Linked DNA regions of Danio rerio. Each later gene encodes a partner of the first gene's protein in a complex. Links are inferred from orthologs where the notes say so. Each region holds a gene or a part of one and is shown on either strand. Other genes may lie near its edges. The genes, in order: tctn1, tmem216, tmem107l, ahi1, tmem67, cc2d2a and cep290.

Region 1 (3,500 bases):
GCTAATAATTTTGACCTTAAAATGTTTTTTTAAAAAAATTAGAAACTGCTTTTATTCTAGCTGAAATCAAACAAATAAGACTTTCTCTAAAAGAAAAAATATTATCAGACATACTGTGAAATATATATATAATGTATATACGTATGTATATATATGAGTTATGAGTTATTGAAAAGTTAAACAGCCCCTATTATGGGTTCTTAAAAATGACCTTCCATGCAGTGTGTAACACAGCACTAAGTGAATGAAAACATCCAGCTGAGGGTTAAATCTGAAAATGCACTTGGTTTAAAAATAGTTTTTTTTAATAAAAGATTCGACTCAGAGTTTTTTAAATGATTCGTTGTTCGTCGGGATCTTTTGTTTATATCGATGTTTATACCAAATATGAACTACCGGATCCGGTAAATGTGAACGCGCCTTTCCCTTTAGACCTTAGCAGAGTTTGAGGGATCATGGGATTTATCGTGACGGGAAGATTACTATCACTTAGAAATGCCTAGACATGCAGCTCTAGGAAACCACCACACCACCACAGTATAGTCAACCTAGTGCTGTGTTTGTTCCTGTCATTTTCTGATTGATACAATAATCTACACTGCAGTGTGGGGTTTGCTGGCATTTGTTATTAAAGCAAGGATCAGCAAAGACTACTAATGTATGGGATTTTGTTAGTAACTGTTACATAGTTTATATGGACCAGTTCCTTCTTCCTACATAACATGAATTGTGATTAAAATTGTTGCCTCATTTTCTGTAGTTTGCAAAATATGTCTTTAATTGTGTGTTGTAACTTGTAATCGCTCTGCACAGCTGGTAATCACGTACTGTCATAGATCAGTTCTGGTACTGTATCTCTCAGGTTAAATCTGTATGGGGTTATTCACATATCGCGCCCAAAACCACGTTGTAAACGCAACTCATGCTTCTTTTTTTCATACTTTAAATGCATTTTTTGCTCGCAATCTCCTGCTGTTTGTGGCCATGGTCACCACCAGCTGTTCCTCACACGTGTGGAGTGGTCAATTCTTTAAAAATAGTTAAACTTTTGCCACTGTTTGGATACTGAATGTACTGAATGTGTGTCGCTGTTATTACTTAAGGTTAGGGTTAGGAGTAGACTAATATGCTGGGGTTTGGGACAAATAAATCACTGAACAAATCATATGTAAGTCGTTGGGATAATTAGGTAAAAATAAATGCATATTATAAGACAATTAAGGTGTTTTTGACCTATCAGCCTGTTGTTAAAGACCCTCCAAAACCAAAATATGACCTTTTATAATGCATAATAGGGGCTCTTTAAGATGAATAGTTTTGTGTACATTCTCTGATGTCCCCATATACACTGTTAAAAGAGATTAGTTGACTTAAAAAAAAACAAATAAACCTGTTGCCTTACAATTATTAAGTAAACCAACTATGTGCATAATTAAAAATGTTTAGTTAGGTCAATGAGTTTACTGACTTATCTAAAATCAGGTTGTTGTTTTTAAGGCAGCGTAATTAATCACTCTTTAAAGTAACTAATCGCTTTTTACAGTGTATTTGCATGAAATAATATTAATAGTTTTTTGTCTATCCTTTAATTGTACTTGTCTAAGTATTTTCCTTTGCTTTATTTTAATTGTGTATTGTTCTTTTCTTTTAGATTTGTTCCAAATATTTGTTATTTTTATAGTTTTGTGGTGCCTTCTGATTTTCTTGAAATATTTATCCAGAATGTGTTTTACAAATTTTTGTTGTTGTTGTTTTCTTGTTTTGTTTAGATTTTTATTTTAATGTAGCCTTATAAAAACAAAGTAATAATTGTATGTCCATGCTTTGACAGGAGAACTCTCAGACAACAGGGTTGAAATACAGTGGCAATCCTGGCTATGTATTGGGGCGTCCTCTAGTGGCCGGAACAAGAACGGCAAAATATCCTTTATTAGAAACTGTGGACAGATGTCTCTTTTGTAACGAAACGATTATGCCAGCCATTTGTCATCAGCACAGAATATAAGTAATTTATTTCCAAGTTTGGAAAATACCCCATATGTTGAGTATATGGCAACATGTTAATAGTTAATGTCAGTAATTCACAATATTAAAAAATGATGTCCTTCTTATACTTTATTAGATGCAGTGTTACGGATAAAAAAAAATCATTCCCTTTGATTGATCTATGAAAGAAATCAGGACACAGCAGGCCCATAGCCAGGGGTGATTCAAATGGTTTGAAAGACCCACCCCTCACTGACAAAGGTCCAGAATTTGTCCCATACATGAGCTCATTTGTCCTATTTTGACTACTGTGGTATAATAAATTAAAAAAAAAAAAAAAACCTATGAAAATAACCTATTAAATAAGGCTTTAATACCAAGTGGAATTCTGTTTTAGCTGTTGCTTCGGTTTGACTTCCCAAATTCAGCATCCCAAATGACAGTTGAATGTCCTGACCAGTTTGTTGTTTGCCTAATACATAACAGTAGGCTGCAGTTTTTGATTTAAAACACATTTAAAACTACCTATTTTTTTCGAATGATTTATAAAGTGATACATTTGTATTTATAAAATAAGTAAGCTATTGTTTTTATATTTCTTTATTCTAAATCTGGAAATATTTTGGTACATTAAAAAGTGTGGTTGTAATGACCATCTGACAGGTTTATCCAGCCAAAAAAAAAAATGCTTGAAATGTCCCTAAAATGCAGTGTTTAAACCTCATAATTAAATAAAAAATGAGGCGAATAACTGCAAAAAGGTCCACTTTTTGAGAATAAAGAACCATTCTTTTCACCAGGCTGGCTAGGGGCCTGCACAATATTAATATTAAGAAAGGTGTGCTAATGTTTTCATCATCGTAACAGTGTTTAACAAATCCATGCAAATGCTGTCATGCAGGGGGCGAAGCAGTGGCGCAGTAGGTAGTGCTGTCGCCTCACAGCAAGGAGGTTGTTGGCTCGCTGGTTCGAGCCTCTGCTCGGTTGGCGTTTCTGTGTGGAGTTTGCATGTTCTCACTGCATTCGCGTGGGATATCTCCAGGTGCTCTGGTTTCCCCCACAGTCTAAAGACATGCACATGCGGTACAGGTGAATTGGGTAGACTTAATTGTCCGTAGTGTATGAGTTTGTGTGTGTGGATGTTTCCCAGAGATGGGTTGTGGCTGGAAGGGCATCCGCTGCGTAAAAACTTGCTGGATAAGTTGGCGGTTCATTCCGCTGTGGCGACCCTGGATTAATAAAGGGACTAAGCTGACAAGAAAATAAATTAATGAATACTGTCATGCCTGCCAATCCAGCTTTGGGGCACATTCCTTGACTCTTGTTTTACTGGGATAGTTCAGTTTGCAGACCCAAAAGGATCTCTCACTACCATCCAAACATCTGTGGATCAGGATTGCTTGCGTGGCTCTTCTCGTCGCTCGCCTGTCCTATTTGGGATTAACACAATATCAGGTTGCACCTTAAAGTAAGAAGCAACTGTAATAATATTTAATGTTTTTGTAAAGTAGACA
Region 2 (4,195 bases), on another chromosome or scaffold:
TTACCAGACGATATAACAAATAACAACCTGCAAAAGTTAGACAGTAATATACAAATGAAGCACACAAACAAAAATATCGTATCTATCGGTCTACCTAACTGACAACATAACAAATGGCATTCATTATAAACAGGCTACTAAAGAAGATAACAGAATACACAAACTAGAAAAATATGGATTCAAAATGCTAAAGTTAACAAGTCGTCTATACAGAAATCTCCATTTCCATCCAACATTCAGTACAATCAACAGTCTAACCGAAGAAAGACGTGGAAAAACTAATATACTACTCTGAAACGATATGACAGAAAGAAATACTAAAATATTTAGTGTATTCAACCAAAATCTCGTCGAAACAACAAAATATAACCTAAAATTATACTTTAAGAGAGATCTTTACATACCGCTAATGTCAGCGATGGCCAGACACTTAATGAAGGTCACACTAGTTTCTCAACGTCATTTTTCGAACACATTCTTTTTTAGAACGCCACTGACTATGGTAACCACAGCAACGCCACCGCACCGCCATCTTATGAGTATTTAAATAATAGCAACTGTGATTCTCTGTTTGACTAAATTTCGTATGTTCATATTCTATTTTGCATGCATATAAGTCTTATTTTTCAGGCATATAGTAAATTTATCTGTATCTAACCTGTATGTCTAAAAATAAAATATAGTTCAGTTTAAGCCACCAGAGAGCACTGTAGCTTCGGTCCGTGAACGGAGGAGCTGCTATTTTATCGGATAGAAAATACAATAACGCTTATATTTAATAACTGATTATAATTGTATGGTGTGAAAAAAAACCTCCAGTTACCTAGAAGAAAGCTCAAACGTGTAATGTGTATTTTATGTTATAAAAAGATATGTAAATGTATACCTTTATCAAAATACTCTCTTTTTTTACAGTTTTATAACAGTTAACAAAAACAGTTTATAAAAAGTAAAGAATCACACCTTATTATTATAGTACAAATTCTATACAATAATGTAGAATAAAAAATACATTATATCTGAATAGAGGAATTAATAATAGCGAATATGAAATAGTAGTGTGCTATGTATAATAATCATAACTATGAATAACACTAATACAACATTGCGTATACTATTGGCTAAAAGGAACGTATAAAAGGTTATTTATTTCAGTGGCAGTGACTGTTTTGCTGCTTAGTGTGCATATGAATATACAGATTATTATATTTATATGAACCGTAAGCTGTGACCGTTACCATTTTGTTTTGACCTTGTGGACTATAGGTGGAAAATGTGTGTGCTTACTACAGAATGTGTTCATTTCTCGCACTTGTATGTTTTTGATCACTGACCCGTTTGCTTGATTTGATTGGATGGCCGATGTTTGTCTCCGCCTACAGTATGCGTGTCCATGGCAATCTAACATGGCTGCCCACGGTAAGCAAAACGGAAATGTTTTGGTTTTGATAGTAAGTTTATTGGTTCACCTTAGTTGCGCATATTTAACTTAAATAAGTGGGCGACTTTAATAAACCAGACCCAGACGTTTTTGAAGAAACAAGCGGACTAATAGAGCAGAATGTGCACTTTTGTTTAGGGTGGAAAGTAGGCATCACGTAGCCGATTTTAGCCATTTAAAGCACGCCTGTCTTTTTTCCAACAAATAGATGTTATTTTTTTTATTATATTCTTGCATAATGATTAACTGCCTGTTGATCTTACTTCAATGCTTAATCTGTGTGTGTTACTTAACCGCGTGTTCACTAAATGTGTTCTCGCACTTGTCAGTATTGTTTTGTACAAATTGTGCTTGTGGGGCAGCTATTGTCTTCAACACTTTAAATGCAACCTATTTATTTTCATCTTTAAAAAGTCGTGTTTTTGAAAAAACATAGGTCTAATGAGAATTTTTATAGATAACCATATTACTTTGCTAAAAATATTGATAACCACTATTACTAGTTAATTGGGGCAGAATACCCGATTAATTTCAACACTGTGTCTTAAAATGAGCTGTATGAAAATCTTAAAAAGGCTGTTAGTTATAGTGGTAGGATGTGTTTACTTTGCAAAAAATCTAATAATATAAAACTCTATCCATTTAATTTTGTAATATACTTTAAAAAAAGCACCTGACATTACTGTCTTATTAACACTACCAACGATGCTGCTCAGGTATTCTCTGTAGATACAACCAACACATTTTAATGAAATTTAAATCTTTCCTTTGTTCTTTAGTCATTAATGTTGTTCACAAATGCTTCATGTCATTTTAAAGGGATAGTTCACCCAAAAATCAAAGTTCTGTCGTGAGTTGTCCTGGTTTCAAATCTATATGAGTTTTTTTTCCTGTTAAACAGAAAAGTAGATCAGTTAAAGAAAGGTCGAAACCTGTAACCATTGATTTCTGTAGTTTTTTTTTTCCCCGATGGAAGTCAGTGGTTACAGGTTTTCAGGTCTTTTCATATTTTTATGTTTAACAGAAGAAAAATAAAATCTTGTAAAAGTTTTGAACCACTTAAGAGTAAGTAAATAGTGATTACATTTTTTTGGGGGGGATGAACTATGCCTTTAAAAGTACACTGTCCTGTAACTTTGTACGTTTATTTCATTTTCAGACTCATCTTTATTTTATACTAGAGTTTGTAATGTAAGAAAACTTTTAACAAGTTGGCCTGGATTATGGCTTGAAACATTTTAACAAAGACTTTTGAGGAAGAAAATGAGCCACTGACCCAAAACAGCATTGTATATGCATGCCATGTGCAATATAGGAAGCTGGTTTGTGAACTCTGATAGGCAAACTGACTGTAATATTGAATGAATGCATACAAATTCACAAACCAGCACATTCTCACCTGTGAAAGATTTATGCTATCTATATTTACACTATCTTTGGTTATAAAAATGTCAGTGGCAGTGCCCCCCTTTTCTTCTACAAGTAGAGACTGCACAATATTGTGGCATCTTGAAAAACTGCATTACCCATTCCAAGATGGCAGATGCATAAATGAGACTAAAGGACTTTTACTTTTAGACCTATGTTATTTTCACTAATTCAGTATTTATTTTCACTTTTGCAGGAAGACAACCTGTTGTATCTTTTCAAGCTGTTTTTTTTTCTTATTATTTACTCGTTTGTCTTTGTTTATTCTGTTGATATTGCTTCTTAACAAAGTACCTCAGTTGTCGTCCACACCACTGCAGATCCTGTTTCATTTGAACGGCTGGTATTTTGCTGCATTTTTCGTTGCTGAGATTCTTATGTTCATTTACAAAGGTGATGTATGGCCTCTTGAAATATTCTGAAAATTTGTGATTTTATTTGTCAAGTAATCACTGTTTGCTCTGACATTTGTAGGAGTGATACTCCCTTACCCACAAGATAATCTGATATTGGATGTTGTCCTGCTGCTCCTCTTCTCTGGCCTTGAAACACTCAGACTTTTCTATGGTCAGTGCCTTATAAAGTTGTTTAATCTGCTTTAGTTTGTAGAATCGTTCAGTTAGTGCACTGAAATTATGCTCAGTCAGAACTTCAGAAGACCTTGTGAAGCAGTGTTTGACGATGCTCAAAATTTAGCAATAAATAAAGTGTGCATTAGTCGGGCCTGCTTCTTCAGCAGTGCTAGTTCTAGAAGTGTTTTTTTCTTCCCCATAGGACTTTATAAAAATGTTTTTTGAAAAGTGCTACAGATTTTTGAGCTGATCATTCCGTCAATTAATTAACTTACTCAAACGTGTTTTGTTACAGTTTTTATGTTATCTTCTTTGGGATTATTGAATAATATGTAAATGTCTAGACGATTTGAGATACTATATAAAACTATAAACACAATAACTTGTCTATAGAGAACAGGAATTTGACGTAACTGTGTAATGCATTCTGGGTGTTTAGCACAAGAAAGCCTGATTCCCATTGATCTCTACTGATTTTTTGTATCATATATATACACTCATCGGCAATAAACAGGAAGTGTTTGTACTACAGGTAATGAAGAAAATCATATATGCAGATGTTTTCTTGCTGCAGCTTGGGTAACTTTTAAGATTGTTACTTTTACTTGAGTATAAATTTTGTATACTCTACCCACCTCTGAAAGTAATACTGGTAATAATTTTCAACATCTTTTAGTGGATGCATTATATGAGATGCCTACCGCAGCTTAGTTTTAGGGATAGTAGAATAAATCAATGCACTGTGAATCAAGAA
Region 3 (4,070 bases), on another chromosome or scaffold:
TATCACACCCTGCAAATAAAATGGCAAATGTTGTCACCACAATGTAAAAAAAAAAGTCTTCCTAAAACTGTCTATTCTCAATTTCTTAACTCTAAGGTTAATATTTTACTGCCTTCCAGAACAGCAAATGCCCTTGATAGCAAACCACTGAGTTAGTATTTATTTATTATTTACTAGACCAACGACGTCTGGCTGTAGGCTACAGTAAAAACTAATGATTCATTTATTTGTTGATTTGTGAATGCTGAAAACCTGCAACCATTGACATCCATATAGGAAAAACAAATGCTATGGAAGTTACAGGTTTCCAACTTTCTTTAAAGTATTGCCTTTATCGCTTAACAGAAGAAAGAAACTCACAAAGATTTACAACCACTTGAATAAACAGCAAACACGTTTTTATATTTGGGTGAGCTATCCTTTTAACTTATAGGGCTCTTATTACACACGTTTTATGCACTTACTATAATACCAATAAATTATGCATAATCACATGCAAAAACCCATAACCATAGTAAGTACTCCATATCGTTAATTAATGCCACTCAGTACTTTATGCTATAGATACACTGTAAAAATGAGACCGTAAAACAAAAAACAACTTAGTTTGTTTAAATGCATTTCATTTCGAGATTAGCACTGTCGCTTCACAGCAAGAAGGTTGCTGGTTCGAGTCCCGGCTGACATTTCTGCAGATGCTTTTTTCCCTGTGTTTGCTTGGGTTTCCTCCGGGTACTCCGGTTTCCCCCACAGTCCAAGGACATGTGCTATAGGTGAATTGAATAAACTAAATTGGCCATAGTATATGAGTTTGAATGAGTGTGTATGGATTTTCCCAGTGCTGGGTTGCAGCTGGAAGGGCATCCGCTGTGTAAAACATATGCTGGATAAGTTGGCAGTTCATTCCGCTGTGTCGACCACTGATAAATAAAGAGACTAAGCTGAAGGAAAATGAATGACTGAATAAAAGGCTTGTTTAAGACACCTCGAACACCTTGATAGTGCTCCCTATTGACCACAATAATGAAGTCTTTGAAATAAATTTTTTCCAATTGTCTTACTACTTGTCTGCGCTGCCATGTTCCAGTTCACCATTTTCAAGTTATTTCACCTTTAGTACCTGCTCTCAGCCGAAGGAAAATGAATGAATGAACATTTTGAGACATTGTAAAACCAAGTTGAGGACCAGTCAGAAAGCGACTCCTTCCAGCAGGTGACAGCATTGAGCTACTTGTTGGTCTGTTTTGACCATAACCCATTCGCCAAATAGAAGAAGAGTGTTGTCGTAGCAACCCGAAGCTTATATCGAGCGATAACTGTCCTCAAGCTTGATAAACTTATACGCATAGTAGCCTTATATACAGTGCTATATCTACTTTACTGCTCACCATTTGAAAAATCAGGTTTTAACAACTAACGCAAAGCTGGTACGTATACCATTTTGATATACAACCTCACGTTTTGTGAAGATGAACACGTTAAACCTTTAACTGTTAGTCATCCACTTGCACAGTTCAATCTAAGTTATTATGTCTTTCTTCTCTGTCTAGTGTTCAATGTCGGTGGTCAGCAGTCTGGTGCCTGCCCGTTTCCTCACTCTCATCGCGCACCTTGTAATAGTGATAATCATTTTCTGGTCTCGGGTAAGAAGTGTTCTTGTGTGTGTAATTGTTATTTTTATATCACACAACATCACTGCAGCCAGCTGTGTGTTTAAATGTGGAATGACCTACAGGAGTACAGTGTCCGAGCCTGTCTACCACTCGACTACACTAATGAAGAGTACACAGCAGAGGACACACGGTTGGGAAACACACTTTCTCTGTTCTGTATTGCTTCACAGTGGCTAAATGATAATATAATTATTTCGGTCATGTAGTGAGACTGAATAGTATTTTTTGATTCAACTTTATTGTCATTATACATGTACAAGGCAACAAAATGCAGTTGGGGTATACCTAGGAATGCGATAGCATCAAGTGCATGATATATGCACAGTGCTCAGCAAATGAGTACACCCCTTTGAAACAAAACAGATTTATTAAACAGATATATTTATTCAAATAATATTTTAGTCATCAAACATATTTAGAAATTGAAAGATATTACAATTACATTCAAGCAAAATAATCCAAAAAAGAAAAGAAATTACAACCTGCAAGATTTCAACTAAAATAGTCTTTTTTTTTTTCATTCCGCAATACAGAATGTATTTTAATTGTTAATTAAATGTACCTTTTAATTTATGAAACAAAATACTTTAAAATCTTTTGATGGCTTTTCTTGTTTGACCCATTTACAGCATATTATTGTTTGACTGATAGTAAATTGTACATTATTTATATGTAGATGTGAATAATGTTATGGAGTCAGATATAGTAAGTCCTGTTCATGACGCTGTCCTAACCATTGTTTTTGGAATACAGGCTTGTGGTGGCATTATCCGTGACTCTTGGCCTGTTAGCCATCGAGTTGGTTGGGTTTCTCTGTGGAATCTCTATGTTCAACAACAACCAAGCTCTTCTGTGTATCCTTACCAGTAGCACATCACCACTATAGGTTATATATATACTGTAGGTGTTGATGCATATAAATTGTGTATTATTTTCTTATATTTTCATGGATCGGAGTCAAATCTTCAACTTATGATTAACGCAAACAGCTCCCATATGTGTGTCTAGTACTAGTTTCTTACACATCTCATCCAAAGTCTTCTGTTTTGTTCAGATTTTTGACAGTAAATTACCTGAAGTCATGGGTCGTAAAAAATTATATGGAGCTGTAATGTGGTCAAGACCTACCTGGTATATAAAGTCAATCTAGGGCCATATATACAGTTGAAGTCAGAATTATTAGCCCTTTTGAATTATTACCCCCCTGTTTATTTTTTCCCCAATTTCTTTTAACGGAAAGTAGATTTTTTTCAACACATTTCTGAACATAATAGTTTTAATAACTTATTTCTAATAACTGATTTATTTTAGCTTTGCCATAATGACAGTAAATAATATTTGACTAGATATTTTTTAAGACACTTCTATACAGCTTAAAGTGACATTTAAAGGCTTAACTAGGTTAACTGGTTTAACTAGGCAGGATAGGGTAATTAGGCAAGTTATTGTATAACCATGGTTTGTTCTGTAGACTATCGAAACAATATATAGCTTAAAGAGCAATAATTTTGACCTTAAAATGGTGTTTAAAAAAAAAAATGCTTTTATCCTAACCGAAATAAAACAAATAAGACTTTCTCCAGAAGAAAAAACCCTTTTGGAAAAATAATAATTCAAAGGGGGGCTAATAATTCGGACTTCAACTGTACGTGCAAAATAAAATAAAACTTTGCAAACAACAAATAAAGTATTGAGCAAAAAATAAATAAATGTAAATGAAAAAAATAAAAAATACATTTTGCTAACAAAAATAAAGAACTGCAAAGGGGAAAATTGAGAAATAAAAATGAAATTTAAACAAAAAAGGAACTGCAAATAAACATCAAGCAGTAAAAAAACAAAACAAAAAGATTTGCAATAATCAAAAAAAAACTATATATATTTGCAAAACATTTTTATAGCATTGCTTTTACAAAACCTGCCCGGTCAGTTGCAATTGTCATTTTAATTAGATTTTAGTCAACTGTGAGTTTGTGATGCTGTTTTCACTTTGTACTTCACGTTTCTGCGCCTTTCACTTTGTGGCCCTGATTTGACAAGGGGACTGAGTCAAGGGAACTTAGAGGTTTACCTAAGGCCTGCCGTAAACGCCCAAGTTCCCTTGACTCCACCCCTTTGTCAAATCAAAATGAGCATTGCAGTTGACTGGATGGGTTAGGTCAAGGCTAAAAATGTTTTGCAAATATTTATATATTTTTTTTTTCAGTTCTTTTTTTGTTTGCAAATGTAATTTTTATTTTTCAAAAATAAATTTTCCTTTGAATTTTTAAATTTTTGTTAGCAAAAACTATTTTTATTTCTGAAAAACAAGTTTTTGCTTGGGCGAGGCAGTGGCGCAGTAGGTAGTGCTGTCGCCTCACAGCAAGAAGGTCGCTGGGTCGCTGGTTCGAACCTCGG
Region 4 (3,500 bases), on another chromosome or scaffold:
CGAGGTTTTGAAGAGATACACAAACCCTCCATCTGAGAAAAAGAAAGCCAAACAGATCTCTGACCAGTCTCAGGAAATTATCGTGGTTAGTAATAATTCATTCATTCATGTATTTATTTATTTATTTTTGGCTTAGTCCCTTTTTTAATCTGGGGTCGCCACAGCGGAATGAACCACCATTTTATCCAGCAGATGTTTTACGCAGTGGACGCCCGTCCCATCACTGGGAAACATCCATACAAGCTGATTTACACACATACACTTCGGACAATTTAGCTTACCCCAGTGGTTCTCAAACTTTTTTCATCAAGTACCACCTCAGGAAAAAAAATTGTCTCTCCAAGTACCACCAAAATGAGCAGTATTGAAATACAGTAGCGTAGTAGGCCCAGTAAAGCCGCTACAACTCTGCAAAGTAAACAAAAAAAAAACGTGGCAGATTACCTCAGAAATCTAGGCTATTTGTCATATTGGCATATTATATACATAATTTTTGATAAATTTTGAAATGTGTGTAGCATGTACATGACATATTTAATTCCTCCGCGTACCACTAGAAGGAAGCCTGCGTACCACTAGTGGTACACGTACCACAGTTTGAGAACCACTGGCTTACCCAATTCACCTGTAGCACATGCAAACACGGGGAGAGCATACAAACTCCACACAGAAATGCCAACTTCTTGCTGTGAGGTGATTGTGCTACCCTCTGCTCCACCGTGCTGCCCGTTTAGTATTGAGGAAGGTAAAGCTGGTTTTATGTTTGCACATATTGACTTTCTCCTTAATAATATAATTTCAGAAAAGTTTTTTTTTTTTTTGCTTTTTACATAGTGAAATCATATTAGCAGCCAATGACTAGCAAAGTACAAGTGTTTACTGTCAATTAAATAGTGCTAATGTTGTTTTTAAGTCTTACATACTTGCATGAGATCTCAGACTCAATATTCAACGTACCATGGTAAACAATAAAGGGAGCATGCCACAAGTTGTCACTGAACAAATGTGCAAATATAAAATAAACTTTACCTCAGAAATTTAGTTTTGAAGCCATATTTGATTCAGATGAAGTCATACTTGATTCACTTTCAGAGCGAATGTTCAAAGTAACATGGTAAACAATATAGAGACCATGTTACAAGTTGTCACTAAGTAAACAAATGTTCGAATATAAAGCCAAATTTACCTCAGTGTAATAATATTTGCAAATGTCAACCTTGCCATCAAACAAGCACCAAATTAGCAAAACCCTTTTATAAGTTGTATGTGTTGACTTGCATTTTATTTCATTGACCAAATTCACACAAGTGCCAGCTTCACAGATGTCACATCCGTAATGAAGCATATTCGTTAAGGAAAATTCAAAGTGTGATAGGAGATAATTCCCATCCTCTGAAGCCTTTTTTTGTACTGTTGCCCCTTGGATGAAGGTTTAGAAGCATTAATGCTCTTCTAACAGATAGAAATTCACCTTTGTTCCTGAGGCAATAAGGCTTATTAACCTTACATTTTAGCAAGTGTTAAATTTAATGTACGAGTCCTTCCTGTTTTTTTTAGTACCATTTATGAAATTATGCTGTATTGTGTTTTTTAATGTTGTTTGTAAGTGATTTGTCTCTTTATGTGTTTGTTATATCATGATGCTACTGCCCTAATTTAATTGCCCCTGGTGGGATTAATAAAGTTGTTAGACCTAAACTTATTCTACATAAATGCAAAAAAAAAAAAAAACATTCTTATTACACACACACACACACACACACACACACATATATGTGTGTGTGTGTGTGTGTGTGTGTGTGTGTGTGTGTATATATATATATATATATATATATATATATATATATATATATATATATATATATATATATATATATATATATATATATATGAGCAATATCGCACGAGTTGCAGTGCGATATGGCTGTATATCGGCACTGGTGGGAGGCGTGCCGATATACAGCCATATCGCACTGCTAAGAGTGTGATATTGCGTTTATACAACAGTTTTACGATATAATTGTGTATATAAAAACAAAATCAAACATGGAGAGTCTTAAAAACCCTTTTATATGAGGAACTACTTTCTTCCGGATTCAAATCATAAGCTGACAGTTAAACAGTTGAGTGTGCATCTTTTAAACTTTAGATCTGTAGTGTCTGCTTTTTGCTGGCTGTATGTGGGCGGAGTAATACACAAAGGGTAAAGAGGCTGAAGGAGTTCTGATATTGCAGAATATCGCACGGCTATCAGCCAATCAGATCTGAGAACCAGACAGAACTGTTGTATATATATATATATATATATATATATATATATATATATATATATATATATATATATATATATATATATATGAATATAAACTGAGGATATTATATGTCAAAATAATCTGTAAATGTTTTATATTTTAATTGAGGTAAATAAACATTCATTATGAATGTGAATCAAAAAGTACACAAGTTTGTAGTTATAATAATATGTAGAAATTCTGTGAATTAAATGTACATCTATATTTTTTGTTCCACAAAGAGGCGACTCTTATCTCTTTAATAAGTATTATTTATTTTTGGTTGTGCAGTTTAATTTACAGAATTTCTACAGATTATTTTGTAAACTGTAAACTCGCATACTTTTTGATTCACATCCATAATCAATATTTTTTTTACCACTTAATAAAAATAATAATTCTTTACACATATATAGCGCTTTTCTAGGCACTTAAAGCGCTTTACATAATGGGGGGAATCTCCTCATCCACCACTAGTTGGCAGCGTCCACCTAAATGACGCAACGGCAGCCATATTGCGCACCACACACCAGCTGATTGATGGAGAGGAGACAGAGTGATGAAGCCAATTATGGTTATGGTTAGGAGGCCGTGATGGACAGAGGCCAGTGGCCAAATTTGGCCAGGATGTCGGGGTTACTCTTTTTTTCGATGAACATCCTAGGATTTTTAACTACAGAGAGTCAGGACCTCGGTTTAACATCTCATCTGCTCACTGAGCAGTGTAGAGTCCCCTTCACTATACTGGGGCGTTTGGACCCACACAGACCGCAGGTTGAGCGCCCCCTGCTGGCTTCATTAACACTACTTCCAGCAGCAACCTAGCTTTACCATGTAGTCTCCCATCCAAGTACTGACCAGGCGCAGCCCTGCTTAGCTTCAGTGGGCGACCATGTGGGAGTTGCAGAGAGCTAACTGCCGGCTATAAATATAAAATATATAACATTAACAGATTTTTTTTACAGACATCTCAGTTTTATAATATACTCATTTTTTTATTTTTTATGTTTCAGAATGTAAACATATACATCCTCAGCAAATTTAGTTTCAAGTTTTTCATGCAAATATCACATCCACAATGCTGGAATTGCTCATGTAATCTTTATTTGAACCAGAAAAATGTTGCTCATTGAAAAATAATCACTGTAAATATTAACTTAATCGCGTTTTCTTTCAGCTTCAGACCTTAAAGAAGAACCTAGATTTGAG
Region 5 (4,218 bases), on another chromosome or scaffold:
CTTTTATTAGTGAACGCTCTCACTGCATTTCGATTGTTGTTGGCCTCATTTTGCTCCGAGGAGGAGTGTGGTTTAAGGTTTTGTGTGCAATTTTTAGACTCCTCCACAGCATCAGTCCACATTTTTTCATGGGCAAGTCTGACTTCAACGTTGAATTCTTTGAATTTTCTGTGACTGTATTTTAGCCCTTCTTCTGCATCTGAAAAACTGGCCAGCTTCACAAGACAGCACCAGCCCAGTTGCAGTCTAACTTTTGTAATGACCTCCAACACTGGGAGTCCCCGTAAGAACTGAAAAATCTCTTGTTTGGCTACACAGTCGGGAAAGCCATAAAGCCGGAGGTAGCCTGGCTTACTTAAATTGAGATTCTCTCCTCTGCCTGTCTGCTGCTCCGTAGATGCCAATTCATGATTGAGACTGTGCTGTGCATCTGTATTCATTTGTTTTCCAGTTAACGGCCATGTTTGCATTTCTGGAGAATTCTGGTTGACATTTCCAGGTGTTTGCTGAGTTTGACCTTGCTGATTATCTTTGTTGTTTGAATGCAGTCCATAAATGGCACCCATTAAACTAAGCAAAAGAGCAGCATTGGTGTCAGTGGGAGATGATGGCACCACGTTAGTCTCCAATTCTGTGGGCTTTGGCTTTTTTAATCTTGACTCCATTTTTCTCTTCAGCTCAGCCACACTACTGATATGCAATGAAACAGAGGAGCCCTTGAGTGTTTTCCCAGAGTAGCGCATGGCTAATTGACCTTCTCTCTCTGTTTTGAAAATAATGAATGCTTCACCCATCTCGCCTCCGATAATATGAACACCGCCCTCGGGTATGTGCAAGCCATGGAAAAATCTGCGGATATCTTCAGATCCTGCCTCTGTGTTTAACCCTTGTAAACGCAGAACCACTACGGTCATGGTGAGGGTCTTCTTACAAACCAGTTGAATCTGTAAAAAAAAAAAGAAAGAAAAAAAGAGTTTCATGACCAAAGTTTTCTATTTTAACACACACACACACAAAACAAAAACACTCACTGTACAAACTACAAGCAAACTCCTCTTGGTTATAAAAAAGCAAAGAAAGGACTTCCACCACCAAACAATCATACTATTGTTGCTTGACTAAAGTAAAATAGTTTTCTCCTCCTTCTTCCAAACGGTCATTGTCTATGGGCTCGCGCGTACTTACCGTTTTGTTTCTTTTTTTCTTAAAAAAAAAAGGAAAACCTCAATATAAACGCTTCTCTACGCACGCTTTGCTTTTTTTCTGTCAGCGGAAAGCACGAGGTGCTCATGCAAAGAGCAGAGCGCATATGTCCGGCGGGAAAGCTCAACTTCCTCTGGTAGAGACTTGAGAGCGTGCACATGTGACACGCCTTCTCACGTAAACGTGAAGAATACGTCATCAAGCGTCATCTGATCCTGCACCATGGCGACGGGGACGCGGAGCGCCTTGTTGTATAGTGTCTCCATTATAATTCTGTTAAAAATAAGCGTTTTCTCCTGCCAGCAGTTCTCCATATCATTTCGACAGCCTTCTGACTGTGGCGTTAACAGCTATTTTGATATTTCGAGCCTGTCTTGCGTGAAATGCGGGTCAAATCAAGTCAGCAGCAAATCAGGTAACGTTACACGAGCGCATGCACAGATTAGTTTGTTTGTTTTGATCGACCTAAGTTAACGTGCAGATGGTTGATTGTACACCAAGCAACGGTCAATTTATTGCTGTATCTGTTGCTAATGTAACTTAGATATACACGAATACGCGTCTTGTGAGCTAACGTTAGTCTGCTATGCGCGAGCTAATGTTTTCATTAGCATGCGTGCAGATGATTCACTTAAAAGATTATTACTCTCATGAATGAAGGTAGAATTATCGAAAGATACGACCGTTTTAGTGCACAGAACAATCGAAATGCTTAAAGAACTTTCAACTTGTAAAATAGATATTTATTCTGGTTTATTCTTCAATATGATTAACATGTAGATATTATATTAAAGTATATAATATTATATATAAAATAAGTGACACTGGTCACAAAGTGAAGCGAACCCAGCAAACAATTTTGTGTTTAATAGACGTCTAATAGATTTCTAAAGGTAGACAGTTTGGCTAAAACAAGTCTAACGTTAAACTTGGGCTGTCAGTGAAAATCTAATATCCATCTAGGAATAGCTCAAAACTAAACTAGTCATCAAAAAGACAGATTAAACAGACTTTGTGTCGTCATTTATTTCTGTTTATTTGATAACTAGTCTAGTTTTGGCCTATTAGACGTCTATTATAGATTTTCACAGCCCAAATGTAGCCATGTTTTAGCCAAGACGATTGTATTTAGACATCTTTTAAAAACAAAAAATTCTTGCTGATAAGTGACACAAAACTATGTATATATTTGGCTGCAACCAAATTATTGTTTTTTTCTATTGTGCTAAAATCATGAGATAATTAAGTAAAGATCACGTTCTATAAAAACATAAAAAAAAGTCTTACTATAAATATATACAAACTATGTTTGATTAGTAATAAGCATTGCTATGAACTTAATTTAGACTAATGAACTTATTTATATATATATATATATATATATATATATATATATATATATATATATATATATATATATATTATTTTTTTTTTTTTACCATCAGATTGCTGATTTTCAAATAGTTTTGTCAACCAAATTCTAACCTATTCAAGGGCGTAGAGTTGCTTTTGATATTGGTGGGGACTTCGGAGCACAAAAACTGAACCTTGAGCGTTCTTTCACTATTTTAAAACCATAAATAAATTAAATTAATAATATAAAAATCACTTTAAGTCAACCATGTCTCATGCTGCAAAAAGTAAATGCAAATATTTTACTTTGCAGAGAAATGAATGCAGACGTCTGAAAAGGAGGAGGCATGTGATGCGTTAACCATTTTATTCTGATTGTTGTTTGATAATAGAGAGAAATTTATTTTATTTTGGAGCTGATTAAATTATTGCTGGGGAAATTTGAATAATTCTGGAGATTTGGATAATTGGTGGAGACATGTCCCCTCCATATGTGCTATTTATACACCTTGGTCCTAACCTAAAAAAATCACACATCAAAGATTATTCGGTAAGATTGTTACATGTCCCTGGGATTTGTGAAGACTGTAAGCAAGCAGTAGTCTTAGTAATAAGTCAGAGAGACAAGAGTTAGTTGTTGTTTCACTCTTTGTTGTCTTATTACACATTCACATTTGTATGTTAGAGTCAGTAAGATACGTTGGTTCACAAAATTATTCATAAACATGTTGCATAAAATAGTCCGCACTGTATAATTACTTGAATCAACTCACTTCACAATAAATAAACAAAAAAATAACAACATGAAACCTTAACCATTTGTACAGAAATGCTAGAATCTTTGTCACTGACTGAATTCAAATTACTGTGTCAGGAAGACAAGTTAAGTATTTACAGTAAGTGATATACCCAAAACCTGAATACATCAAATCAAATCACACTTAAAATTAAGACATCTTAAAATTATTAATAAAATAATCAGGTAAAATTAGTTATTTATACATTAAAGCATGTGTATTATAGTTTTATATGACAGTTAGTTAATTTAACTAACCTTAGTAATAAGTGAGAGAGACGAGTTAGTTGTTTCTTCATCACGGTCCTCTTTGTTGTCTAAGGATGTGCTGCAGTCGTCATGGTAACTCAACTCTCAACTGCCACTCAGAATTCAAAAAATGCAGCTAAACTGTGTAGTGCAAACTCACTATAATTGTATTGGAGTAATTTAAATACAGTGTATGTAACCCCCCTGGTCCTACACCACCCAACCCGTTCCGAGCTGGGCTGGGCTCAAACCGGCAACCTTTCGCATGGGAGTCGGTTGCTCTAACAAAGAGATTAAAGACCATGGCTTCTAGGATCTGTCGCTAGAGCACCTTTAGAGGTCAGAGGAATGAGGTTTACCTGTACAGCACTTACTAGCTGCCCTCCGTTACGTATATACACATAGAAATAGACAAATAAAAGTGAAATATATATTCAAATAATTTTCTTAAGATGATATGTATAAATCTCATTATATATAAAAATCTCAAGTTAAAATATCGAGACTTATGACTGGTTTTGTGGTCCTTAGTAACATATGTGAACTTTTTTTGTGTTATTTTCACTGTATAGGACTGGCATGTGAGTGTCAGGCTGGTTCCAGAGTGCTGGTCAGTA
Region 6 (3,500 bases), on another chromosome or scaffold:
CTGTAGTTGCTTAATTAGGCCTACTGCACTACTGTATTTCAATACTGGTCATACTGTGGTACTTGGGGGGACAATTTTTTCTGAGGTGGTATTTGATGAAAAAAGTTTGGGAACCACTGTATTAGCAGATCACTCGTATGTCAGCTCATAGACAGACCAGCTGATCAACATGACTTTGAGACGATGCAGTGTCAGTGATTTGGTGTGAAGGAGAAAACATTATGAGGTAAAAACTCTAGTTGTAGCATCCACATGACCACCCTCTACCCAGAGTTTCAGGAAATCTACACCCTGGCTGGAGTTTTCAGAATGTTTCAGGTTCAGTCACCTGACACTGTGTTTTCGAGTGAACAAAACCGCGTCGAATAAAAGTGTGATTTGAGAATACCAGTGTGGACAGGGCCTAAATTACCTCGGCCTGCTTCAGTATTCGATTCTCTAATATGTTGAGATTGGTCAGGCAGACGTGCGGCCTCTCCCCCACATACAGACCCTCCTCCTCCAGGAAACGTGGACGTGTGTTCTCCGCCAGCTTACTGGAGGCTGGCACTGGGTGACACATTAAACACAGATTACAGATGTAACTGTATGAAAATATATATCATCACAATTACAACGAGCAAATTTATCACCATTATTAAAGGTGCAAGTTCGACACCCAGTGGTTTAACTAAGTATTACACTCCTGGATTAAAACAAACCCAAGTGGAGGGGGCGTGGTTAAGCATGCTAGCCACACCCCCAATATATCAGACATGAATAATCTGGGAATTTAACTGAAAACACACAGGAAGTGCATTTACAGACTAATTAAAGATCAATTAAATATTACAAGGGCAAACCATTTTTTTCTTAATGACCAACACAGATGATTTGTTCACCACAAAACTAGCAATATTAGCTAACAACATTAATATGGTTAGATTTGATTTCATGTACTTTCGTGACTAATACAGATGATGTGAGCAGCTTTTAGTGATGGTTTCTGTACCTGGCCTCATGCTGGGAACAAACAGCGTGTCTCGCTCCCTCTGCAGTCGCCTGCTGTAGTCAACATACTCCGCTCGCCTCACTTCCAGGAAGTCCTGTGCTGATTGGTCAATGATGAACAAATCCTCCTCGTCTCCGACTAATGGGTCGTCTTCATCCTAGACAGGGATTGAATCAGATTAAAATGAGTGGATATCAATTTTCAAGCAAAACAATTTGCCAATGGGGTGAGCAAAATAATCGTGTTTTTCGTGATTTGTGATAAGATTTTTTTGCTCACCCTATTGGCAGATTATTTAGCTTGATTTAAGGAAAAACTCACTTCATTTTGGCGTATTATTTCTTAAAACAAGACAATATGTTTTGCTTGTGTAGAAAATGCTTCTTGATTTAAGAACTTTTAGATATTTGGACTAGAAACAAGACAAAAAAATCTAAGTAAGAAAAGCAGTTTTTTGCAGTGTGGGGCTTAAAAACACGATAAGCACGATAAGTCACCCTGGCTTCAGACTCTTCCTCTCCTTCATTCTGTCTCTCCAGCTCTCCTACTTCCTCTCCTTCTTCATCCTCCCCTTCTACTTCTCCTTCTGAGTCTCCCTCTTCTTCCTCCTCTGCCTCTCTTCTCCTGGAGCGTCTTTTCTTCTTCTGGCGCTGCTGTTCAGGCTCCGGGTCAAAGTTGAAGGTGAAGAAGTTGTAGGCCTCTTCGGCGGTCGGCAAACCAGCCTCAGCCTGATCAGCAGACAGACACACTTCAGTGTCAGGATCTCAGGATGGGGTCACACAAACAATGAAAATCACCACATTATTTCCTCCCCTGGATGAATATGATTTTCTTCTGTCAGATGAACACAGTCAGAGTAGTTTTACCATTTATTCTGGATCTTCATGCTGTGTAATAGTGTTTGGTTGTGGCACTTTTTTTTTAAGCTTTCAAAAGTTCAGCAATCTGGGAGCAAACTATATGCCACCAAGTGTTTAACACACATATTATAAACGTGGATTTGTGTTTTTGTAACAGGAATATTTCAAATATTTTTTTAATTATACATTTAAATCACTGTCTTCCAGAAGCTGCTGAATGCCGAACCTCTATCTGACGCAGAAGAGAAACGACGTAATCTCGCTAGCACATTTCAGCGAGCGTTTTCAGCTCATTCATATAGAATCCCAGTGCATATTGGGATTTAAAGTGGCACGGAGAAAGTGTTCAGAGCAGCCGAGAGCATCAGAAATGTTGTCCATTTCATAACTTTATTTCATTTTCATTTTTGGGTGAACTACTCACACTATGCCATCCGTACCGTGCCCAGGCCCGTTTCCCGAATCGTTTGAGAAGTGTGAGTGGGCTGAATCGGGCTCAAGCACGGTTCACTTGGCCGGCCCTGACCCGGTTGGAAGCGGTGGGCCTGAGCGTGGTTCGCTTGGACTTTGGCACGGTACGCTTGTGTGTGAGTGCAAAACGCACCAAAGCCCGAAATTGAAAGTGAGACGTGACTTTTAAGGGGCTGTTTTTATATGGATTTATTATTAATTCTTACTGTTCAGTGAACGCAAACTGCCGTAGCTTATTAAATACACAAACCCCTCACTGCACGACAGCTGCACCTTCAGCAAACCTCCATTTTCGTGCAGCACGAGGGCTTTATGATTGTTTATGAGTGCCAAAAGTGGCGGATCTGTTCGGCGAAATATCTGACTGCGTGTCACCGCATCCCTAAGGACTGTTTGGCGAAATATTTGACTGCATGTCACTGCATATCAAACCGACTGAAACGATATAACCAGAGAAATCTCCACTGTGCTGCTGAGTGAGTGAGAGAGCGCTTCTCACTGAACAGCGCAGCAGCGATGACGTAAGCGTGCCGAGGCCCGATTGTGGTGTGAGTGCGGGCCGTCGAAAGAGACGGGAGGGGGGACAAGCGTGCTTTGGCCTGGTTCGAGGCAAATGTACCTAGTGTGAGTACGGCCTTAAAGGCAATCATGAACATGGAGCATTTATACCTCTTCATATATAACAAGACCTTTAGGGAGCTTCTCACCTGCTTGTCTTTGACCGCACGTCTGGCCGCATCACGAAACTTCAGCCTGGCAGCAAAAGAGGAGTCCTCATCAGCCCGCAGATCTGGATCCATCTAGAGGAGGTGAGCAGATCAGACCTCGTTTTAAACACTGAAACTTGACTTCACATTCATTAGAAGAAATGTATACAGTTGAATTCAGAATTATTCGCCCCTTCAAATTTCTTTCTTCTTTTTTGAATATTTTTCAAATGATGTTTAACAGAGCAGGAAATTTTCACAGTATGTCAGATAATATTTTTTCTTCTGGAGAAAGTCTTATTTGTTTTATTTTGGCTAGAATAAAAGCAGTTTTTAATTTTTTAAACACAATTTTTCCTTGATGATCTACAGAACAAACCATCAATATACAATGATTTCCCTAATTCCCCTAACCTGCCTAGTTAACCTAATTAACTTAGTTAAGCTTTTAAATGACACTTTAAGCTGTAT
Region 7 (4,036 bases), on another chromosome or scaffold:
AGCTGGGACTCGAACCAGCGACCTTCTTGCTGTGAAGCAACAGTGTTCAATTATATTATTTATGTTTAATACATTTTCACTATTTAAGGTTCCTGTAATTTTGATGTGGTTTTATCATTGTGATTGGTTTTGTTTATTTTACATAAAGCTGAAAGAAAATGTTAGAACCTCTAAATGAAAACTAGAATTGATACAGGTAAATGTATTTTTTGTTAAATTATCAAAATGACTACAATTTACTTGAAGCATACTAATGAAGTAACTAATTGAAACATAAAGAAATACTATAACAGTGTTTAGATAATACTAAAACAATAATGAGAAGTAAATGTACTTTGTGAATGTTTTAGACCAGATCGGACATATAAATAAATAAACATACATACAAATACATAATCGTCAATCTTTCAATATTTCATTCATTTCGATGACCTTTTCCATCCCTGGAAAACCTTTTAAAAGCCTCAGAAATTGTATATAACCTTTCTAAAACAAGTTTATATTAGAATACTGCATTACGTCCTTAAGCAGCTACGAAATGCAGCAATAAAAGAGCAGATTAATCGCAGTAATAATGGGATAATCTGTGTGGACTGAGCGGAGCAGAGAGGGCGCAGCCTCACAGATCATATGCTATCAGTTAGCATTTGTTTTACATTCAGATCAATCGATTAATTAACACATTACAGTCAGAAAATAAAACATCGACACAACAACCAAGCGTAAAAAATAAGCTACATTTTAGTGAAAATAAAAAGACAACTGGACACATAAAAGACTGCTGGGTTTAAAGAACAAACATAACTTCAGCTGTGCTTTTAGCATTCACTGGTTTCAGTCATTTCACAATATCTTCTCTGTCAGCAGTCATCGCTAGGATGTAATTAAAGCAACTCACCTTGTCATGTCTGGGGAAAAGCTAAATGAAAAGAGAATATGTTTGTTTATGTTGACTAAAGCAGCAAGTTCGATCCACGGCATTGAATTAACAGAGTCCAACAACTGCTTCCGGGTCAAAATGCCTGGCACAACAAAAGTAGGGAATTACAGAGTAGCCGTTCGCGGATTTTGTGTTTCTGTAATGCCATTTCAAATAACGTATAGACACAGATAGATATATGGTTTTAGTTGTGATTCCCTTATAATGAATGGACCGCGTATAAAGGAAATATTTTTTTTAAAAAGAATCCAAACAGAGACAATTTTACGACGTTACGTTTTACGACTGTTTTCCTTGTTGCCTAGCAGCAGCGGGAGCGCAAGAGGAACCCAAGATGGCTTAATAAGGTCTGAAAACGTTATTTTCAGTGTCTTTAGTTTCACAAATATGTGTAAAAGTTGACATTAAGACGTGTTCAAATTTAGGTTTATGCTAACGAACAAAACCAACCCAAATACGAGCAATTGCATGCATTTCTAATTATCGACATTGTGAGAACTAACTAACGTTATATGTCTGGCTAATATATTTAGCATGGCGTTTTGTCGTGTATTTATTATTCTGCTATGACTCTTTTGTGCTGTGACGGTATATGGTGTTGTTTTCAATGAGAAGTCCGTGTGAAGAAATAAACTACATTCGTTTTGCATGTTGTCTGTAGGTAGAAAAAGACTGGCAATCTCAGCATCAGTTGTTCAGTTCAGCTCTGGGGGACATTTGCAGCTGACCTGAAGAATGCCTGCGGCCGCAGACTGGCGGCTCCTCATGGGAATGGATCCAGAGGATCTGGGGGATGAGGATGAGAAGATCTGTGATTTGATTTTAATGGTAATCTGACACGTTTGAGGCACACTAATTGTGAGGAGTGTAGCTAGATGTTACAACAATCTGCAACTACAATACAACAATCTGGAGTTGCAATTATTAAAGAAACACTTATATATATATATATATATATATATATATATATATATATATATATATATATATATATATATATATATTTTTTTTTTTTTTTTTTTTTTTTTTTATATTTTTTTTTTAATGATCACACACACAATATGTGATCATTAAAAAATGTATTTTAGACTCAACATTCTTGAATAGAATTATGGTTGTGTAAATTAGTGTTTCTGAAACACATTCCTGTGGGACCACCATCATTGCATGTTTTGGGTGTCACACTCATAACAGATAGAGGTAAAGTTGGTTTTATATTTGGATATTGAGACATTCTCATTAGTAATATAATTTAGATAACTTCTTTGCAAATTTTTAATAGAGAAATCTTATTAGCAGCAAATAACTATCAAAGTACAGCATTGTTCACAGTGAATTAGATAGTGTTAATGTTGATTAGGAGTCATACGAATATTCAAAGTAACATGGTAAACAATTTAGGGACTTCTAAATGAACGAATGTGCGAAAAGAAAACCAACTTTACCTCTATCCATTACAGGCCTTTCAGTCTACTAATGAGCTAATGATTTGAATTTGGTGTGTTTGGTTAAGAAAACATGGAAAATGTGCAAGGCTGGTGGTCCTCTTGGAACGTGGTTGAGAAACACTGGTGTATATAACTCATTCTGATATCACCCAATATGTTTTTAGTACAGTGGAGGGTAAGATAAACATAATTAGTAAGGACAAATTACATATTTTTTCTATTTTGTTAAACCGTTGTTTACTGAATAAATTGCATCTGTTAATCAGTTATAACTGCAATTTATTTTTCACAAAATATAAATATGTTGTAAACTATACTGGGAGCTTTATTACTTACACATTTCTATCATTTTAAACGCTACAATTAACAACAGGACTCAGACTGTGCAAAATAAATTAAATTATATGCAATAGTTAAAATGGCACTTTAGACAGTTTTTTCATTTATACATATTTATTTACACATACTATATATATTGGATATATACTTGATCAAAAGAGATTTGGTGTATGTTTTTATATTTATATATTTGTTTGTGTTTTCTGGTTTTATTTTTTTAGTAAATAAATGATAAAATTATATTTAACTACTAGTAATACAAACTATTTAGTGTGAATATGTGAAGTTACAAACTTAATGCTCAGTTATTGTGTGTGTTTGTGGTTGCATGTTCAAAAAAATATTTATTGTTTATTCTTTCAAGCCAAACCACAGAGCATCTCCAGCCTCAGGTCTTGCTTTCAGGCTAACATCCGCTTATCGGAATGTTTAAGGAAGAAAACATTCTTCTTGCAAATTTGTCTGATAATAAATTTCTTTTGCATACAGGTCAAACCACGGGACCTAAAAGCAGATGATTCTGAGAAAATGATTCAACTCTTTAGGATCTCACAAACCCTTCTGAGGGTAGGGCTGATTCATCATTTACGCAATGTTTGCAGCACTGCGTACAGTAGTTATGTAGTAGTTAACATTTACCAGATTTCTTTTAATTATGTTGTATGGTCATTGAATTATCATGAGCATTTGTTGTTATGAATCAGTTAATGTTATTATTTATGTTTGGGTTTTTAGATGAAACTGGATGAAATTAAATGTGCCTATGAGGTTGTAGACAGCGCAGGGGCAGAACAAGCAAGAATTGGTATGTATAATCATTGCTAGGTTTTAAGCATCTCCAGAACAAATCACAGCATGTGAAAACGCAGCATGGAAAACGCAAAAAAAAAAAGAAAGTAGTGATTTCCAAATTTGCTTTGACTTGTATTTCATTGCAGACAATATAAACACAAAATATTTCATGTTTTGTCAGGTCAATTTCAATTTCATTTAAATATGCATCCCTTCCTGTCATTCATACCTGCAACACATTCCAAAAAAGTTGTGACAGGAGCAGTTTAGGGATGATAATCTGGTAAATTGGTTAAATATTGATGTGATTTGAAACAGGTAGTGTCAACAGGTGATTGTAATTATGATCTGGTACAAAAACAGCATCCAAGAAAGGTCTAGTCCTTTAGGAGCAAAGATGGGCGGGGGATCGCCACTTTGAAACAAACACATAAGAAAATTATTAAAATGTTTAAAAACAAGGTCCTCAAAGAAAGATAGGAAGACATTTGAAAATTTCACCTTCAGTGCAAAACAT

What was found.
Region 2: tctn1 (region 1) and tmem216 share a complex: the UniProt entries of both Homo sapiens proteins name them as parts of the tectonic-like complex. The link is inferred for Danio rerio from reciprocal best matches to the Homo sapiens genes TCTN1 and TMEM216.
Region 3: tctn1 (region 1) and tmem107l share a complex: the UniProt entries of both Homo sapiens proteins name them as parts of the tectonic-like complex. The link is inferred for Danio rerio from reciprocal best matches to the Homo sapiens genes TCTN1 and TMEM107.
Region 4: tctn1 (region 1) and ahi1 share a complex: the UniProt entries of both Homo sapiens proteins name them as parts of the tectonic-like complex. The link is inferred for Danio rerio from reciprocal best matches to the Homo sapiens genes TCTN1 and AHI1.
Region 5: tctn1 (region 1) and tmem67 share a complex: the UniProt entries of both Homo sapiens proteins name them as parts of the tectonic-like complex. The link is inferred for Danio rerio from reciprocal best matches to the Homo sapiens genes TCTN1 and TMEM67.
Region 6: tctn1 (region 1) and cc2d2a share a complex: the UniProt entries of both Homo sapiens proteins name them as parts of the tectonic-like complex. The link is inferred for Danio rerio from reciprocal best matches to the Homo sapiens genes TCTN1 and CC2D2A.
Region 7: tctn1 (region 1) and cep290 share a complex: the UniProt entries of both Homo sapiens proteins name them as parts of the tectonic-like complex. The link is inferred for Danio rerio from reciprocal best matches to the Homo sapiens genes TCTN1 and CEP290.

The regions. Positions count from the first base shown.
Region 1 is NC_133185.1:8,973,031-8,976,530, reverse strand, and holds part of tctn1 (tectonic-1), read left to right. Parts: intron 1-1,831; coding exon 1,832-1,920; intron 1,921-3,316; coding exon 3,317-3,454; intron 3,455-3,500. UniProt on the Homo sapiens protein: Component of the tectonic-like complex, a complex localized at the transition zone of primary cilia and acting as a barrier that prevents diffusion of transmembrane proteins between the cilia and plasma membranes.
Region 2 is NC_133189.1:29,311,898-29,316,092, reverse strand, and holds the start of tmem216 (transmembrane protein 216), read left to right. Parts: upstream 1-1,395; 5' UTR 1,396-1,406; coding exon 1,407-1,419; coding exon of another isoform or gene 1,420-1,436; intron 1,437-3,065; coding exon 3,066-3,079; intron 3,080-3,168; coding exon 3,169-3,262; intron 3,263-3,343; coding exon 3,344-3,436; intron 3,437-4,195. UniProt on the Homo sapiens protein: Part of the tectonic-like complex which is required for tissue-specific ciliogenesis and may regulate ciliary membrane composition.
Region 3 is NC_133198.1:31,419,244-31,423,313, reverse strand, and holds the start of tmem107l (transmembrane protein 107 like), read left to right. Parts: upstream 1-1,270; 5' UTR 1,271-1,427; intron 1,428-1,550; 5' UTR 1,551-1,556; coding exon 1,557-1,643; intron 1,644-1,735; coding exon 1,736-1,803; intron 1,804-2,426; coding exon 2,427-2,527; intron 2,528-4,070. UniProt on the Homo sapiens protein: Plays a role in cilia formation and embryonic patterning. Requires for normal Sonic hedgehog (Shh) signaling in the neural tube and acts in combination with GLI2 and GLI3 to pattern ventral and intermediate neuronal cell types.
Region 4 is NC_133192.1:9,408,718-9,412,217, reverse strand, and holds part of ahi1 (jouberin), read left to right. Parts: coding exon 1-85; intron 86-3,468; coding exon 3,469-3,500. UniProt on the Homo sapiens protein: Involved in vesicle trafficking and required for ciliogenesis, formation of primary non-motile cilium, and recruitment of RAB8A to the basal body of primary cilium.
Region 5 is NC_133191.1:30,685,915-30,690,132, forward strand, and holds the start of tmem67 (meckelin), read left to right. Parts: upstream 1-1,418; 5' UTR 1,419-1,425; coding exon 1,426-1,618; intron 1,619-3,610; exon of another isoform or gene 3,611-3,866; coding exon of another isoform or gene 3,867-3,876; exon of another isoform or gene 3,877-3,940; intron 3,941-4,173; coding exon 4,174-4,218. Other genes in the region: rbm12ba (RNA binding motif protein 12Ba), read right to left, coding at 1-914. UniProt on the Homo sapiens protein: Required for ciliary structure and function. Part of the tectonic-like complex which is required for tissue-specific ciliogenesis and may regulate ciliary membrane composition.
Region 6 is NC_133198.1:2,308,778-2,312,277, reverse strand, and holds part of cc2d2a (coiled-coil and C2 domain-containing protein 2A), read right to left. Parts: intron 3,123-3,500; coding exon 3,030-3,122; intron 1,720-3,029; coding exon 1,489-1,719; intron 1,149-1,488; coding exon 992-1,148; intron 550-991; coding exon 413-549; intron 1-412. UniProt on the Homo sapiens protein: Component of the tectonic-like complex, a complex localized at the transition zone of primary cilia and acting as a barrier that prevents diffusion of transmembrane proteins between the cilia and plasma membranes.
Region 7 is NC_133200.1:18,973,537-18,977,572, reverse strand, and holds the start of cep290 (centrosomal protein of 290 kDa), read left to right. Parts: upstream 1-1,236; 5' UTR 1,237-1,287; intron 1,288-1,601; 5' UTR 1,602-1,675; coding exon 1,676-1,768; intron 1,769-3,216; coding exon 3,217-3,294; intron 3,295-3,462; coding exon 3,463-3,532; intron 3,533-4,036. UniProt on the Homo sapiens protein: Involved in early and late steps in cilia formation. Its association with CCP110 is required for inhibition of primary cilia formation by CCP110.